2 linked regions of the Lytechinus pictus genome follow. The protein of the gene in region 1 purifies or fractionates together with the protein of each later gene. This does not show direct contact. Links are inferred from orthologs where the notes say so. Each region holds a gene or a part of one and is shown in the gene's direction. Other genes may lie near its edges. The genes, in order: serine/threonine-protein kinase mTOR-like and regulatory-associated protein of mTOR-like.

The links.
Region 2: the proteins of serine/threonine-protein kinase mTOR-like (region 1) and regulatory-associated protein of mTOR-like purify together in Drosophila melanogaster (affinity purification with western blotting; 3 studies listed by BioGRID, with this or other methods). This does not show direct contact. The link is inferred for Lytechinus pictus from reciprocal best matches to the Drosophila melanogaster genes mTor and raptor.

What each region holds. Positions count from the first base shown.
Region 1 is NC_087258.1:3,792,194-3,800,236, reverse strand, and holds the start of serine/threonine-protein kinase mTOR-like, read left to right. Parts: upstream 1-4,981; 5' UTR 4,982-5,166; coding exon 5,167-5,383; intron 5,384-8,043. UniProt on the Drosophila melanogaster protein: Promotes cell and tissue growth, maintains tissue homeostatis and controls responses to environmental stress and aging. Regulates growth during animal development by coupling growth factor signaling to nutrient availability. Central regulators of autophagy.
Region 2 is NC_087254.1:16,254,043-16,261,366, forward strand, and holds the start of regulatory-associated protein of mTOR-like, read left to right. Parts: upstream 1-4,202; 5' UTR 4,203-4,413; coding exon 4,414-4,551; intron 4,552-7,324.

The sequences.
Region 1 (8,043 bases):
GGTCGGTATGCAAATAAGGAAACTGATGACGTCATCCACTCACTATTTCTTTTGTATTTTATTATATGAAATAGGGAATATTCTATTTTTCTCCTCATTGTCAAGTGAAACAACGATTAATTCCTCCCTGAACATGTGGAATGAGCATTGTTTAAAGGACAAGTCCACCCCAACAAAAACTTGATTTGAATAAAAAGAGAAAAATTCAACAAGCATAACACTGAAAATTTCATCAAAATCGGATGTAAAATAAGAAAGTTATGACATTTCAAAGTTTCGCTTATCTTTAACAAAATAGTTTTATGAACGAGCCAGTTACATCCAAATGGGGGAGTCGATGACATCACTCACTCACTATTTCTTTTGTATTTTATTATATGAAATATGAAATATTTTGATTTTCTTGTCATTGTCATGTGAAATGAAGTTTCATTCCTCCCTGAACACGTGGAATTCCATTATTTTAACATTTTGCATGTGCTTCAGGCAAGGAGGTCCTAATCATCAAATTCGTAAAAATTGAAATATTGTATAATTCAAACAATAAAAAACAAAAGAAATAGTGAGTGAGTGACGTCATCGACTCTCTCATTTGGATGTAACTGGCTCGTTCATATAACTATTTTGTTAAAAATAAGCGAAACTTTGAAATGTCATAACTTTCTTATTTTACATCCGATTTTGATGAAATTTTCAGCATTGTGCTTGTCTGATTTTTCTCTATTGATTCAAATCAACATTTTTCTGAGGTGGACTTGACCTTTAAATATTGTATGATTCAGTCAAGTTGGTCCTCACTGTCAAATCTATACAAAATGAAATATTGTATAATTCAAACAAAAAAAACCCAAAAGAAATAGTGAGTGAGGGACACCATCGTCTGCCTCTTTGAGTTGTGCATTTCACTGTCTTATGACAAATAAGCAAAACTTTAAAATGTCATAACTTTCTTAAAGGAGAATGAAACTCTTGGAGCAAGTTAGCTTTTGTGAAAGCAGTAAAATCAAAGAATAAGATCAACAAAAGTTTGAGTAAAATAGGACTAGCAATAGAAGAGTTATGAGCATTTGAATGTCGAGATCACTAATGCTATGGAGATCCTCCAATTGGCAATGCGACCAAGATCTATGATGTCACAGATGAACAACTCTCCCCTTTTGGACACTGAAAATATACCCCAAAACATCTCTTTTTGCTCGATCATTCTCATCATATGACAAACGATTCATCAATGATATAATGTTGTGAAACCTCTGTACTTGTCCCCGGACTTGTCCTCTCATAAAGAGAACACCTCACCTTGTGATATACTATAAAAGTGAGAATAAGTGAAATAAGTACTAAAGTAATGAGGGAGTTGTACGTGTGTGACATATCACAGATCTTGGTCGCATTGCCAATGGGAAGATCAACATGGCATTAGTGATCTCAATATTCAAATGCTCATAACTTTCTTATTATTCATTCAATCTTCCTCAAACTTTCAACAATATGTTTCTTTGATTTTTCTCTTTGATATGGATTCAGCTGGTTTCAAGGATTTCATTCTCCTTTAATATACATCCGATTTTGATGAAATTTTAAGCGTTTTGCTAGTTTGATTTTTCTCTCTTTAATCAAATCAACATTTTCCAGGGGTGGACTTTACTTTTCACTACACACAACTACTTCACGCAGATGATGATCTCATGGTGAATATCGGGTTGCACAAAAATGCCAATTTTGACATAGCCGGCCTATATAAAAAAATTATACATTTTATTGCACCCCCTCTGACTCATATTTTTAATCTCTCACTCAATACTGGGAAATGTCCAGAGTGCTTAAAAATTGCTAAAGTAAATCCTATTTTTAAGAAAGACAACCCTCATGAAATAAGTAATTATAGACCTAAATCGATTCTCCCTAGTATATCTAAAATCATTGAAAAGATTATTTACAAGAGGCTATACAAGTTTTTGGATACACATAATTTATTAAATTCAAATCAATATGGTTTCAGAAAAAGTCATTCAACTGACCTTGCACTGATTAGATTATATGATAAAATAACAGATTCTATAGCCAATAAAGAACATGTAATAGGGGTATTTATGGATCTATCAAAGGCCTTTGATACGATTGACCACCAAATTTTACTTCAAAAACTTTACTCTTATGGAATTCGTGGTGTTGCTCTTTCCTGGTTTCAAAGCTATTTAACCAATAGAAAACAATATGTTGTATTTAATGATGTTTCTTCAACTTTTCTACCAATCCGATGCGGTGTCCCACAAGGATCGATATTAGGCCCATTACTTTTTTTAATTATATATCAATGACTTAACTAATACAACTTCTCTTCTATCGTTTATATTATTTGCAGATGATACTAACATATTTTACTCATATTATAACCTTAACACCCTAGTTGACACACTAAATAATGAGTTACTGAAATTATCTTTATGGTTTAAATGTAACAAATTGTCTCTGAATATCAACAAAACTAATTTCATGTATTTTAAACACATACAATCTCATATAAATGACGTACATTACAACATATTTATAGATAATGTTCCTCTTGAAAGAAAGCATCAAACGAAGTTTTTGGGTGTCGTCATTGACGAAAATTTAAATTGGAACGAACATATACGCCATATAATAACTTCTATTTCTAGGAATGTTGGTATACTATATAAATTAAAGAAATGTATTCCTTGCAAAACACTTGCGTTGCTTTATAATTCATTGATTTTACCGTATATAACGTATAGCAATTTAGTATGGGCCACAACAAACAAAACAAAAATAAATTCTATTCACTTATTGCAAAAGAAAGCGCTTCGCATTTGTATCGGTTCACAATATTCATCTCACTCCAAACCATTATTTTACCAATTAAAAACTCTGACAGTATTTGACATTAATACACTACAAAGTTTATTGTTCATTTTCAAGTATTTCAATGGGATGCTACCAAATTCATTAAAATTTTTTTATACTTTGAATAAAACCATTCATGATTACCCCACCCGTAATTCCTCTAATTTACATTTAGTCAATCCAAAACTACGTATTGCCCAGAGATCCGTAAGACAAAGATTCATGGTCCTGACCTTTGGAATCCTCTCCCAGACTCAATTAAATCCTCTTGCTCCCTACACTCATTCAAAGCTAAAGTTAAGGTCATGTTACTATCGGAATATGTAAAATAAACTTTCTTGTGTCATAATCATGTTCTAATATTCCGTTTCCATCATCATTAACATTATTTCCACCACCACCACCACCGTCACCACTATCATCATCATCATCATCATCTTCATCTTCTTCATTTGTCATTATCATTATCATTTTTTTTTTTTTACTTGATTATATATATTATAGCAAGTTTTGGCTTGTTAGATTTTGTTCTTCTCTTTTTATATTATACTTAATTGATACTTTAATAATTTGTTATTGTCCATTCTGCTCATAATATAATTATATGGTTAAAATATGTTTCGGTTCATTGTCATATTTTTCAAGCATTTTTTTGCTTACTATGGCAATCCATCTTCTGCTATTAATTTTATGCTAAATGATTTATACCTGATTTATTGTCAATGTACACTCTAAATTACAGGGATTTAAAATTAGTCCACATGGACTGTAGTTAGGGACCAATCGAATTCCGGATTTAATTGAATCCTTCAGATTCCTTTTTTAAATCTCGAAAGATTTAAATTTAATTTGAATTTAAATCATTTGAGATTTAAATTTAAGTCTTTAGGATTAAAACAAAATCCAGAAATCGATTGGTCCCTAACTACAATCCATCTAGACTTATTTTAAATCCCTGTAATTTAGAGTGTATGTTTGTTACATTTATGTTATATTATATTGTTATGTAGAAGAAAAATAAATTCAAATCAAAATAAGTGCCTTTTTTTTGCTTTGCCCCCTAAACGAAAATACGTTCTGCCGCCCCTGGTGCGTAGATTACATAGAAACATATTTTTGTGCAATTCCGGCCGGATAACGATCCCGATCATTTTCAATTAATGAAAAAATTCCAGGTAATTCCGGGTAATCCGAAAATTACAATTAAACTACAATTAAACGTAGTAACTTTGTTTGCCTCATAAGCCACAGTGGGTATCAATAAAAACGGGACAGTTTTGAAAAGTCCATCACTTTGTTTGAAATCATAATGTCTCTATTTTGATGTTCATATGCTCTTAAGTCTTATCTTTCAAATGCCATCAGAAAAATAAGTTTCGTTCATGCTTGAGCAAACATGGAACGTTTTTTGTCAGGGGTTAAAAAATTAAGACTTGCGCCAAAATGGCAGAAAATGAGAAAATATCGATCATCAGACTTCGTGCTAATCAGCAGACTCCTCGATCTTAACCTTTAAATTGTCTTTGTCATAATTATTCTGTCAAAATTCATTTACAAAACTATTGAATTAGGCCTACTTGATTTATCATTATTTTTTTCAAAATATGATGTATTTTAATACTGAAAATTCCTTCATAAAATCGTTAACCTAGGTAAGGGGGTTTGCGTTGTTAATGGGAGAGCTTGCAATTCATTAAAATGATTTCATTTTGTGCTACATGAAAGGTTGTGGTGCCTTTGAAAAACATGAATCCTTTCCTTGTTTTTCTAATGGCACTTGAAAGATAAGATTTAAGAACATCATTTAACATAAAAAATAGACATCATAATTTCAAACAAAATTTTGATAGACTTTTCACTTTTCAGAACTGTCCCGTTTTTAGCTCAAAATTTTGCTCGCGCTCCGCGCGCTCGCATTTTGTAATTTTGTTGCTATTTAAAAAAAAAAAGTTTAATTCCTTGATTTGGACTTTTGGTCACTTACACTTGGACCAAACTTGTGTAGGTTCGCTTTTTTCATGTCCGATTAAAGAAAAAAAGGAAATTCCAGTGTCTATTGAGATTCAGTTTCGGGAAATTTGTTCTATCGGTGATGCGTGTCACAGGTCAAATTGCATTTCCTGTTATTGAAGAGATGATGAGCTGAGGCCGTGGCGAGAGAGAGCCGAGAGAAAAGAGGCGTCAATTATTATAATCTACGACTACGAATTTCTCTTTTCATGGTCATCTTATCTTTTAAAGTTGCAGACATGATATAGCATATTCAGAGTTGGATTGGGTACTTTCAAATCAGTCAAAATGTCACAAATGAATAGTTTGGTCGGCGGATTGAAGAGCAGACACGACGATGTTCGCACCAGGGCAGCGAAAAACCTGCAGCACTACGTGAGCACCGAGCTGCGGGAAGTTTCGGCGGACGAGCGCACTTCGTTTATGGACGATCTCAACCACCACATCTTTGAGTTGGTATCAAGTCAGGACGTGAACGAGAAGAAAGGTGGAATTCTAGCAATTGGTGAGTGCATAGAACGAATAGATTTAAATGTCCTGTAGGTGTGTGTACAGCAAGGCTCCACATTAACTATTTTTGGTGGTGGCCCGTTCGGGCCACCAAAACCATCAAATAATTTTTTTTGGTGGCCCGATATTAAAGTTTGGTGGCCCGAAAAATATAAAGAAAAACATTAAAAATGAATAAAACAAACTTCTGAAATATTAATTCTGCAGCCACTACCACTAAGTTACTTTCACTTTATACATCTTGTATGTAAACCTTGTTTGCTGTTATTTTACTTTGATAATTGTTTCTATCGTTGTAAAAATGAAATGATTGAAAGTGAATAAATGAATTGTATTGTTTGCAGGTTGTGTGGACTTTTTTAACTCTCTGTATAGAGATAATGGTAAAGTAAATAAATAGTGCATAGCAAACTCAGATAGATGTACAAAACAATGGTTTTTCCTTCCTTCCTCTTTGAATCCTAAAACCTAGATTATGCATGCCCCAAATCCAGTTTATTTCTGTTTTCTCTTTTGCAGCATATTATAGAAGGCGAAAATCACAGAAAAATATGCTGCAAAATTAGAATAATGCATAAAAGGGGGAAACAAGCAAAAATAATTTTCAAAAAGTATATAACAAAAAGAAAACAAAAATGATAAAAGAAATTAGTGAAATAAAACAAAAGAAAGAAAATGAAGAAAGAAAAAAACAAAGAACAGGGAAAAAAAGAAAAAAAGAAAAGAAAAAAATCAGATAGAAAAAAGAAAAGAAAATGAAAGAAAAATTAATAAAACAAAGTTAATATAAAAATGGGGAAAAGGGGAAAATTAAGAAGCCATTACATATATTTTTTAACAGCTGTGGCAACAGTCTATTCTGACTGGAATATAATTAAAAGCCAAGCAAATAATTTTCACTTGCCTTTTGGGAATGGCACATTTCTATTTTTATATCCTTTAGTTTGTATTATTTTATTTTCAGTAGAAAAATAATTTTTAATCAGGCATATTCAATAGGAAGGGGTATAAATGGTTTAACCACTGTAAAAAAAAAAGGAAAAAAAAAAAGAAAACGGCAAAAACTATATCTGGAAAAAAAGTGTGAGAAAAGTCCTTCCCTATATTTGCCAAAATGTAGGAAAAAAAATCACATTTCATATCAATGAAATGCCTTCCCAAAGTATTTACTTTCTCAAGAGTGGTTTAAGAAGTCATTTATAACAAGAAAGAAAGAAACTGTCTGTTTGTTTAAGGCTAGAAAATACACAGCTTCGAAAGAAACCAAGTATCAACATACATACAAATGCACACGTGGGACTGTGATGTACTTGCCTATGTGTTTTTATGTGTATTAATTCATGTGGAAATCGGTCTTTTTGAGTCAAAAGAGAGGTCATAATTCCTCTTCTTAATACTTGCAAATAATCAGGGTACGCCAGATTTTCGTAATATAGACTGTAGAATTGCATTTCATTGGTGTAAAAGGTGACTTTGACTGAGATTTTCAAAGTTCTGTGGAAGATTTCTCAGCAGCAACATTTTTTTATCGCAGCTCCCTGAGTCTGAATAGGCTGTGCTAGATCTAGAGCACAGCTGTATGCACAGTGGCGTAGCTACGGGGGGGCCTGGGGGGGCACGTGCCCCCCCTGAGATTTGGTGTGCCCCCCCAGGTGCCCCCCCCTGAAAAAATTGGCAGGGCAAAAAAAAAGGAGAAAGAAGAAAAGAAAAAAGGAAAAAAAGAAGAACGACATAAGAAAAAAAGAGGAGGAAGACGAGTGAATGAAATAATGTGAAGGGAAGACTTGCAAAAAAAAAAATCTTTCATGTTATTATATAAAACTTTTGCTTGCGCTTCGCGCCAGAATTGCCTGTTCGATGAGATTCATATCTTGCTCAATAGGCTGATATGGAGCAAGTTTTGAAGTCAATATACAAAATATATTTTAGCTCGGACATCGAGCTTTCATCAATTTTTTTTCATTAAAAAAATTAAGTGCTCTAGCTGTAAAATGTCCCTTTTATAGTCTACATATCAGTATTTTTAAGCTCACGCTGTGTGGTCAAATTGTTTGATTTGCCAAGTTCCTATTGTCTACGTGTATTCCATAAACAAATGTATTCAGACGGCCCAGATTCTAGGTCTAAATCAAAAACATGCGCGATAGCCTGCATGTTCTTTATATTAAAATTATCCAGTTTCACATCAGAATATCAATAATTGTCTGCTCACGCTTCACGATCGCATTATTAATGATACCCAATTAACTATATCCTATTTATGATTTACAAAATATGAATAGAGTGTCCCGCTTTTAGGTCTAAAATCTAAATTTTCTTCCTCTCGCGCTTCGCGCTCGCATCAATTGTTTAGTTACATACCTATCCCATTTATTAATACAATAAGTGCTTAGAATGACAATTTTTTTAGGTCGGAATGTCAAAAAAATTTGCTCGCGCTTCGCGCTCGCATTATTGAAATATATACCGTCTTCGTGGGTAACTGTAAGCAGTCCTTAACAGGTCCCTTTTCGATAATGCTAGAACAGTTAATAAAATTTTCTGCTCGCGCTTGGCGTTCGCATTTACCATCTAGTTACATACGAATCTTGTTCAGGATCACACATAACATTGCCCAGAATATTAAATTTTCAGGACAAAATACATGAAAGTAAA
Region 2 (7,324 bases), on another chromosome or scaffold:
CATATAACCAATTTCGAGTGTCATTTTTTACATGAAGTTTATTTCCTTTTGTAAGTGCTTATCCAGTCTGCTTCATGCTATCTTTCGGTGAAATCCATTAGGATTTAACAGAATCTGTTTCAAGTTGAAGTGGAATCCAACCGGAAAGGAAAGTTCTTTAAAAAAAAAAAAACCAAGAAAAGCAGGATTGTGAAAGTTTTAATAACAAAAACAATTTGGAGGTTGGAAAGACAGAACATAGGGGATTCCGACTTCATTATATCAGATATAAATAATTGGTAGTCTATTTACATTGATAACGGTCTGACTTCGTCAAATAGAGCGATGTCATTATACAGGGCCACTAGCGTACCTACGGGGGGGGCAGAGGGGGCAGTCTGCCCCCCCTGACGAGCCACAACCCATGCAAAAGACGTATCCCTGCCCCCCTAACGAGCTTGAAGACCTTTATTGGCCCCCCTGACGAGCTTGAAGACCTTTTTTTTTTTTTTTTTTTGCTTGTCAAATTTTTATCTGGTACGAAATCCTTCATTTGTGATTGAAGACATTTTTTTTTTTTTTTTTTTTTTTTTTTTTTGCTTGTCAATTTTTTTTTGTTACGAAATCCTCCATTTGTGATTGAAGACCTTTTTTTTTTTTTTTTTTTTTTTCGCTTGTCAAATTTTTTTCTGGTACGAAATCCTTCATTTGTGATTGAAGACTTTTTTTTTTTTTTTTTTTTTTTGCTTGTCAAATTTTTTGCCCCCCCTGTGAAAAATCCCAGGTACGCCACTGTACAGGGCCCGTTGCATAAAAGTTACTATTACGGTAACTTTGCCATCTAATGGTAACTGCCATGGTAACAATGCTAATCGGCCAATCAGAATCAAGGATGTCGGGGAGTTACTATTGGATTTTGCAACGGTCCCCAGGTGGTCAGAATCAAGTATTTTTGCAATGCTAATGATCCACTAATCCTAATGGTTTCCATGAAAAATCCCTCTTTACCAATCCCAGTTTCCCCTTTTGGGTAAAGGTGGAGTTGGGAAATGTTTCTAAATTCCTCTCCATGCAAATAATGAAGCAGACTGGGGTTATCCGAGATACCATGCTAGTTGAGGCAGTGAGATGGATAAAAAGCTTGTGAGTGAAAGAACAATTGGATGATGTTTAGAATTGGTTGATGAAAATGGCAGAAGGGGTTATCAGAAATTTGTGCAACTTGAGGTAGTGAGACTGAGATACTGCACATTAGAAAATGAATGAAAAAAAGATGGTGTGTGATTTTAGTATTATGCAGTGTTCAGACTCCAGGGGAGCATTTCATCACCATTTTCGTCCCGACAAGTGGTCAAATCTGACAACTTTCCTTGATTTTGATTGGCTGAGAAGCACTGTTACTGTGGTAACTGTCGGATATAACCCGGCTTGTCAGATAAATTGTCCGAGTCCTTTTATGATATGCTCCCCAGAAGTTGAAGGTCTGGTTTATCAGAGATACATGCGAGTTGAGGTAGATGAAGATCAAGAAGGAATGAAGAGGACGACGTGGGCATTGCCGTGTTGTACAGTGTTTTCAGAAGTGAACGAAAGTGGCTTATGTTATGTATTGCACCAAGTATGCATGGCTGTCTTGATAAACTAATGAACCTGATTATTTCCTTTTAATTTAGTTTGCCACTAGCTCGTGGAATGTCAGTCTTGCCAAGTCTGAATACATGCCTTCAGACTTGGCCAGATTTGACCTGACAGTAATAAAACAATATACATCCAGTTTTTTTTTTTTAATTAAGTTTAATATGAATTTGTGTACCACTATGAAATAAAAAAAGAGCCAATAGGTATTAACAGTAATGGGTTATGAGAAGTGGGTGTGGAGGGGGGGGGGGGGGATGTCACAAAAGGTATCATCCAAGATGGTCTTATCCCATTTTGTCTAATAACTTTCAGGTCTAATTACGACTACCGACGTTTTCCATAGCCTTGATTCCCATTTAGTCTGTATTGATGAACTACATGTATTTGTGAACTAAATTTTCATTTTACGAAGTAAAACAAGTGGAAATTAGACAGACTGGGTATTAGATTAAAGGAGAATTGGATTAAGTGGGCATTAGATCAAGCAATTACATCAAATTTGACCACACAAAAAAGATAATCTAAATTTAGAGAACAATTATTCAAGGATATATTATACATATGAATTTTCCTGTGCATTGAAAGAGCAGCACCTCTTTATAAATACATGCATCCCTGATGCCATACTGATTAAGTGATTTAGGTATTAACCAATACATGTATTCATTCAATAAAACATTCAATAGAGTACTTTACACAGGACAAAGAAAATTGGTAAATAGGAAATATATCGAGAGAGATAATGTACATATTCACATTGTATTGAATATAGAAATGAGGGCACATCCCATTATAAATTCTAATCAAACTTGAATCATGGTCCTTGGGCCATCCTGACACGCCTCTTTGTGATGAAATGGGGACAGTTATCCCCGCCTCCCCCCGGGGGCCCCACCCTCGCAAAAAAGGGGTTCATTGCCCTGCCTTAGCCAATTAGACTAGTAATTGGATATAATTGTAAAGCCACAGGTCAACCCCATTAAGGGTCATTTATTAAAGGAGAATGAAACCCTTGAAACCAGCTGAATCCATATCAAAGAGAAAAATTAAAGAAACATTGTTGAAAGTTTGAGGAAGATTGAATGAATAATAAGAAAGTTATGAGCATTTGAATATTGAGATCACTAATGCCATGTAGATCCTTCAATTGGCAATGCGACCAAGATCTGTGATGTCACACACGTACAACTCCCTCATTACTTTAGTACTTATTTCACTTATATTCTCACTTTTATAGAGTCTATCACAAGGTGAGGTGTTCTCTTTCTGAGAGGACAAGTACAGAGGTTTCACAACATTATATCATTGATGAATCGTTTGTCATAATGATTAGAATGAGCAAAAAGAGATGTTTTGGGGTATATTTTCAGTGTCCAAAAAGGGGAGAGTTGTTCATCTGTGACATCATAGATCTTGGTCGCATTGCCAATGGGAGGATCTCCATAGCATTAGTGATCTCGACATTCAAATGCTCATAACTCTTCTATTGCTAGTCCTATTTTACTCAAACTTTTGTTGATCTTATTCTTTGATTTTTCTGCTTTCACAAAAGCTAACTTGCTCCAAGAGTTTCATTCTCCTTTAAGGCTGAAAAGCGTGGTATGTTGTAATTGATAAAAACGTATCTGTCACCCTGACAAAAAGTTTATTGTAAAAATAGAAGAAAAAAAAATGAAAATATTGCTGAAGGTCTGAGAAAAATCTACTAGAATCTTAATTTGTCTGAGAAAAATCTACTAGAATTTTAATATGTGACGTCATATGCGAGCAGCTTTCCTACATATCGTATTGTAAAAAATCAATGAAATGTCATTTTCTTAGAATATTGAAAATGTTCTTTTTACTGCACCTTCAGGTATACTAGACAAATCATTTCACGCCTGTTCCTAAAAGGAACTGAACAGAAGTCATCACGAACCATCAGTGGCGTACCTAGGATTTTTCACAGGGGGGGCAAAACCGTCCGCCAAAAAATTTGACAAGCAAAAAAAAAAAAAAAAAAAAAAAAGGTCTTCAAGCTCGTCAGGGGGGGGGGGGGGCAAAAAAGGTCTTTCAAGCTCGTCAGGGGGGGCAGGGATACGTCCTTTGCATGGGTTGTGGCTCGTCAGGGGGGGGGCAGACTGCCCCCTCTGCCCCCCCCTGTAGGTACGCTAGTGCGAACCATGAAAAAAATGAAATTCATGCATTTTATATTACATAAGATATGGGGCAGCTGCTCGTTTATCATGGGCCGCGGAACGGTTTTCAAAGTGGGAGGCTGAGCCAAAAGTGGGGGGGGGGGGGGGGCTGACCATGCAAAAAATCACAATCATATGGTAATTTTTACTTTTTTTGTATATGGTTTTGGAAAAAAGTGGGGGGGGGGCTGAAGCCCCCGCGGCCCCTGTTTATGACGTCACATATCCAAAACTGAAAATTCTCATAACTTTCTTAATCTTTAATGAATTTTCCTCAATCCATCACCAATATTTTTCATTATTTTACAGGTGCACGAGTAACGTTAACCTCCCCGCCCCCTTTTTTATAATTTTTTACGGTAATTCCCATAATATCGACCGGGCGTAAACGTGACGTCATTCGTAAATACACGCTGGATGAATGAAAGAAAATGGCGACACATGTTTCTCCACAATAGTTGTCGGTAGATCATAAAACTCCCTTCTAAAACCACTTTATTAAAGTTTTGCCACGTATTCTGTCTGATCACAAGAAAGTATTTACAACGTTTCATCACATTTTGACGTTCATATCTTCTTTGAGGCTTCTACTTTCGCAAGAACAACTAAAACATCGAAAATGTACGAGGACATCACTGAATCTGAGGAGAGCGATCTGTGTGATTGGCAGTTACCGCTTGCATACATGAAGAAACGGCACACTGACCCGATTGAAGGAAGCAAAACAGAAACACAAACATGGCGAATGAAAGAACGGGTATTTCCATTTTCTTTTTCTGTAGATCTACTAACTTAAATTTCCTGTGTTGATGCACATATCTGCTTTAATTCAATGACATAAAGTAGAAATGGTTATCTATTTTATGAAGGCAGCTAAATAAAAAAAAAAAATTATAAACACTTCATCAAAATCAAATCATGATTTTCGTGAATTTCTCTGTTTCTGGGATCATAATCAAGATAAGAGAATACTGACATTTTGTATTATTCCCAATTTATATTGAATAAAGTGACAAATTTCAGTTATGGTATTGATGAAATAATTCCCCTGAACAGAATTGCAGATGCAGTTTTTAAAATAACTAAGTTATTAATCTAGTCGGTCTAACGTTAAGTTGAACTTACTTACTGTCAAACGTTAGGGGTATTAGACTGATCAGAATTAATCAGCATGATCAGATCATAAATATAATGACTTTTACGTACTGATGAAATAAAGTTATTGAAAAAATACAAAAAGCATGCATCTCAATCCTCAGTAAACGTTTTAGACAATTTTCCAGAAATTCCAGGTCAAGGGGTCTATGCCTAGATCGATAGATCTAGGCCTAATATAGTACCGTATCTAATGTTGGGGGAAATTTTCTAAAACTATTAAAAAGTGAATTTTGAGTAACAGATTTTTTAAGGCAATCAAACACAGGTATGACTAGAAAAAATGCATAAAAACGTTGCTTTCCAGGCCTGGTTCAGATTGATGTGTTAAGTGTTTCATAAATTATGAAAAAGATCTGTTTTTGACTGACAAAAAGAGGAAAAGGGTTGACCCTCTAATTTTCTGGAGGTAATTCACTTGCCAGCATAGAGACAATCTGGATTTCCTGCTATTGGCATGTTTTTTATCAGCTTGGCTGCAGTTCTCTGCACTTTCCAAATCATTTGGTTTAAGAGTTAAAAGCTTGCTGGCCTTTTAATATGTATTTTGATATTTTTGGGACTTTTCCATCTGGTTATCATACATTTTTATGTTACAAAATGCAAATCATCCAAGGCCAATAAAGGGGGGGGGGATCCAAGGCATTGAAGGCCTTTGATGATAAAGCAGGGGCCTGTTTCATAAAGGACTTGCAACTGTTGTAACTTTGCCATAATGGCAACTGCCATGGCAACAGGCCTCAGCAGGCTTTATGAAATGGGCCCCAGGCCTCAACCCCGCCTCAACATTAGCAGTGGCCCAGTGTTTTTCTATTGTCTTAGGGCCACCAAATATGCATGAAATTAATGATTTTGGTGGACTGACCTGGGGGCCGTTTTATAAAGCTGTTCGTAAGATAAGAACGACTGGTGATCCTTTCTTTCGCGCTAAACCATGCCCTATGGTGTATACCATTTACCAAAAGAAAGGATCACCAGTCCTTCTTGTAGTCGTTCTTATCTTACGAACAGCCTTATGAAACACCCACCAGGCCACCAAGAAAAAAAGTTGTGTGGAGCCTTGTGTATATGAATGTAAAATTCACTCCTGTAGGAAGTATGTGACTGAGAAGGTACCATTTATGATGCATTTAGTGATGGTAACCTTTGGTTGTGTACATTTAAATGTATGTGTACAGCAATCTACAAATGTACATGTACACTGTAGACCTACTGAACATGTGGTTAATTCCCCCCCCCCTTTATAATGTAATTTTTACTGCTCATCATATGTAATAATTGTCAAGGTGGGTTCAGAATTTCATTTTTTATGAAATTGAACTTCCAAAGTATTAATTATACTCTGTGTTTAATTGTGTGAAAAACTTATATAGTTCACAGAATGAATATGTATTCAAAGATGAACTGTATGAATCTAGGAAACAATACTTTTAAGAAGTTTTGTCCTTATGACCTGGTTTTACCCACAAAAAGAACCCTTTGATGATTTACTTTAAACACACACACAAAAGCACTTGCAGTTAGATAGAGAAGATATTTGAGCGGGGGTCCACAAAAGTGTTAAATCAGAACTTGAAATACTAGATATGGGAGATAATTATTGGGCTCAGAAATCATCATCCGTACTTTAATCATTTGAAGACACTTTAGAATTTTAGTTGATAAGAAATTCAAATTGATATTTGGAGCAAGCAATTATAAGTTCAAAGTTCTCAAAACAAGTCATCGATGTTGCCATTGTAGTCATTTAGAAAATTTGTTTCACGTGCATGCACATGTGCCATAATGTAATTTCAAAATGTTTTCAGAGCAAAGATGCAAAGAAATGAGCCCCCATAAATCCCATTATGTTCAGTACAATCTACCTTACAGTGTTACACTGAATGTGCAATACATCTGCAATGTAGAAAAAACGAGCCCTCTCCCCCACATTTCCACCAGTGTTTAAAAATCTCCCCTCCCCTTCCTTTAGTTGAAATCCAGCTTATCTTTGAAATAGAGGGAGCCAAACTATGGTTATTTTTCAAAATGAAGATTGAATATTTCTTGAATAATTTTAAACCAATGAAAGGCTGTACAATACTGTTTGTTTTTTCATGATGTGTCTAGAGGAGGATTGCAATAATGCTTACGGTAAATTTTACTGTAGTGTAAATTGATCTCAAGGTTTGTGGGGGGGGGTGACATTTGAACCAAACCATATCACTAATTAATCTTTGTGGTATGTCATTATATTGCGCCCCCCCCCCTCTTTACCCATTAATAAACCCTGATACATTTATGTAAATCTTTAAAATGAATTATGAACTGATTATGCAAAAGTGTGAAGGGAGGGAATTATATCTTAACAAACAGAAAAAAAAAGAGCTTCGGTA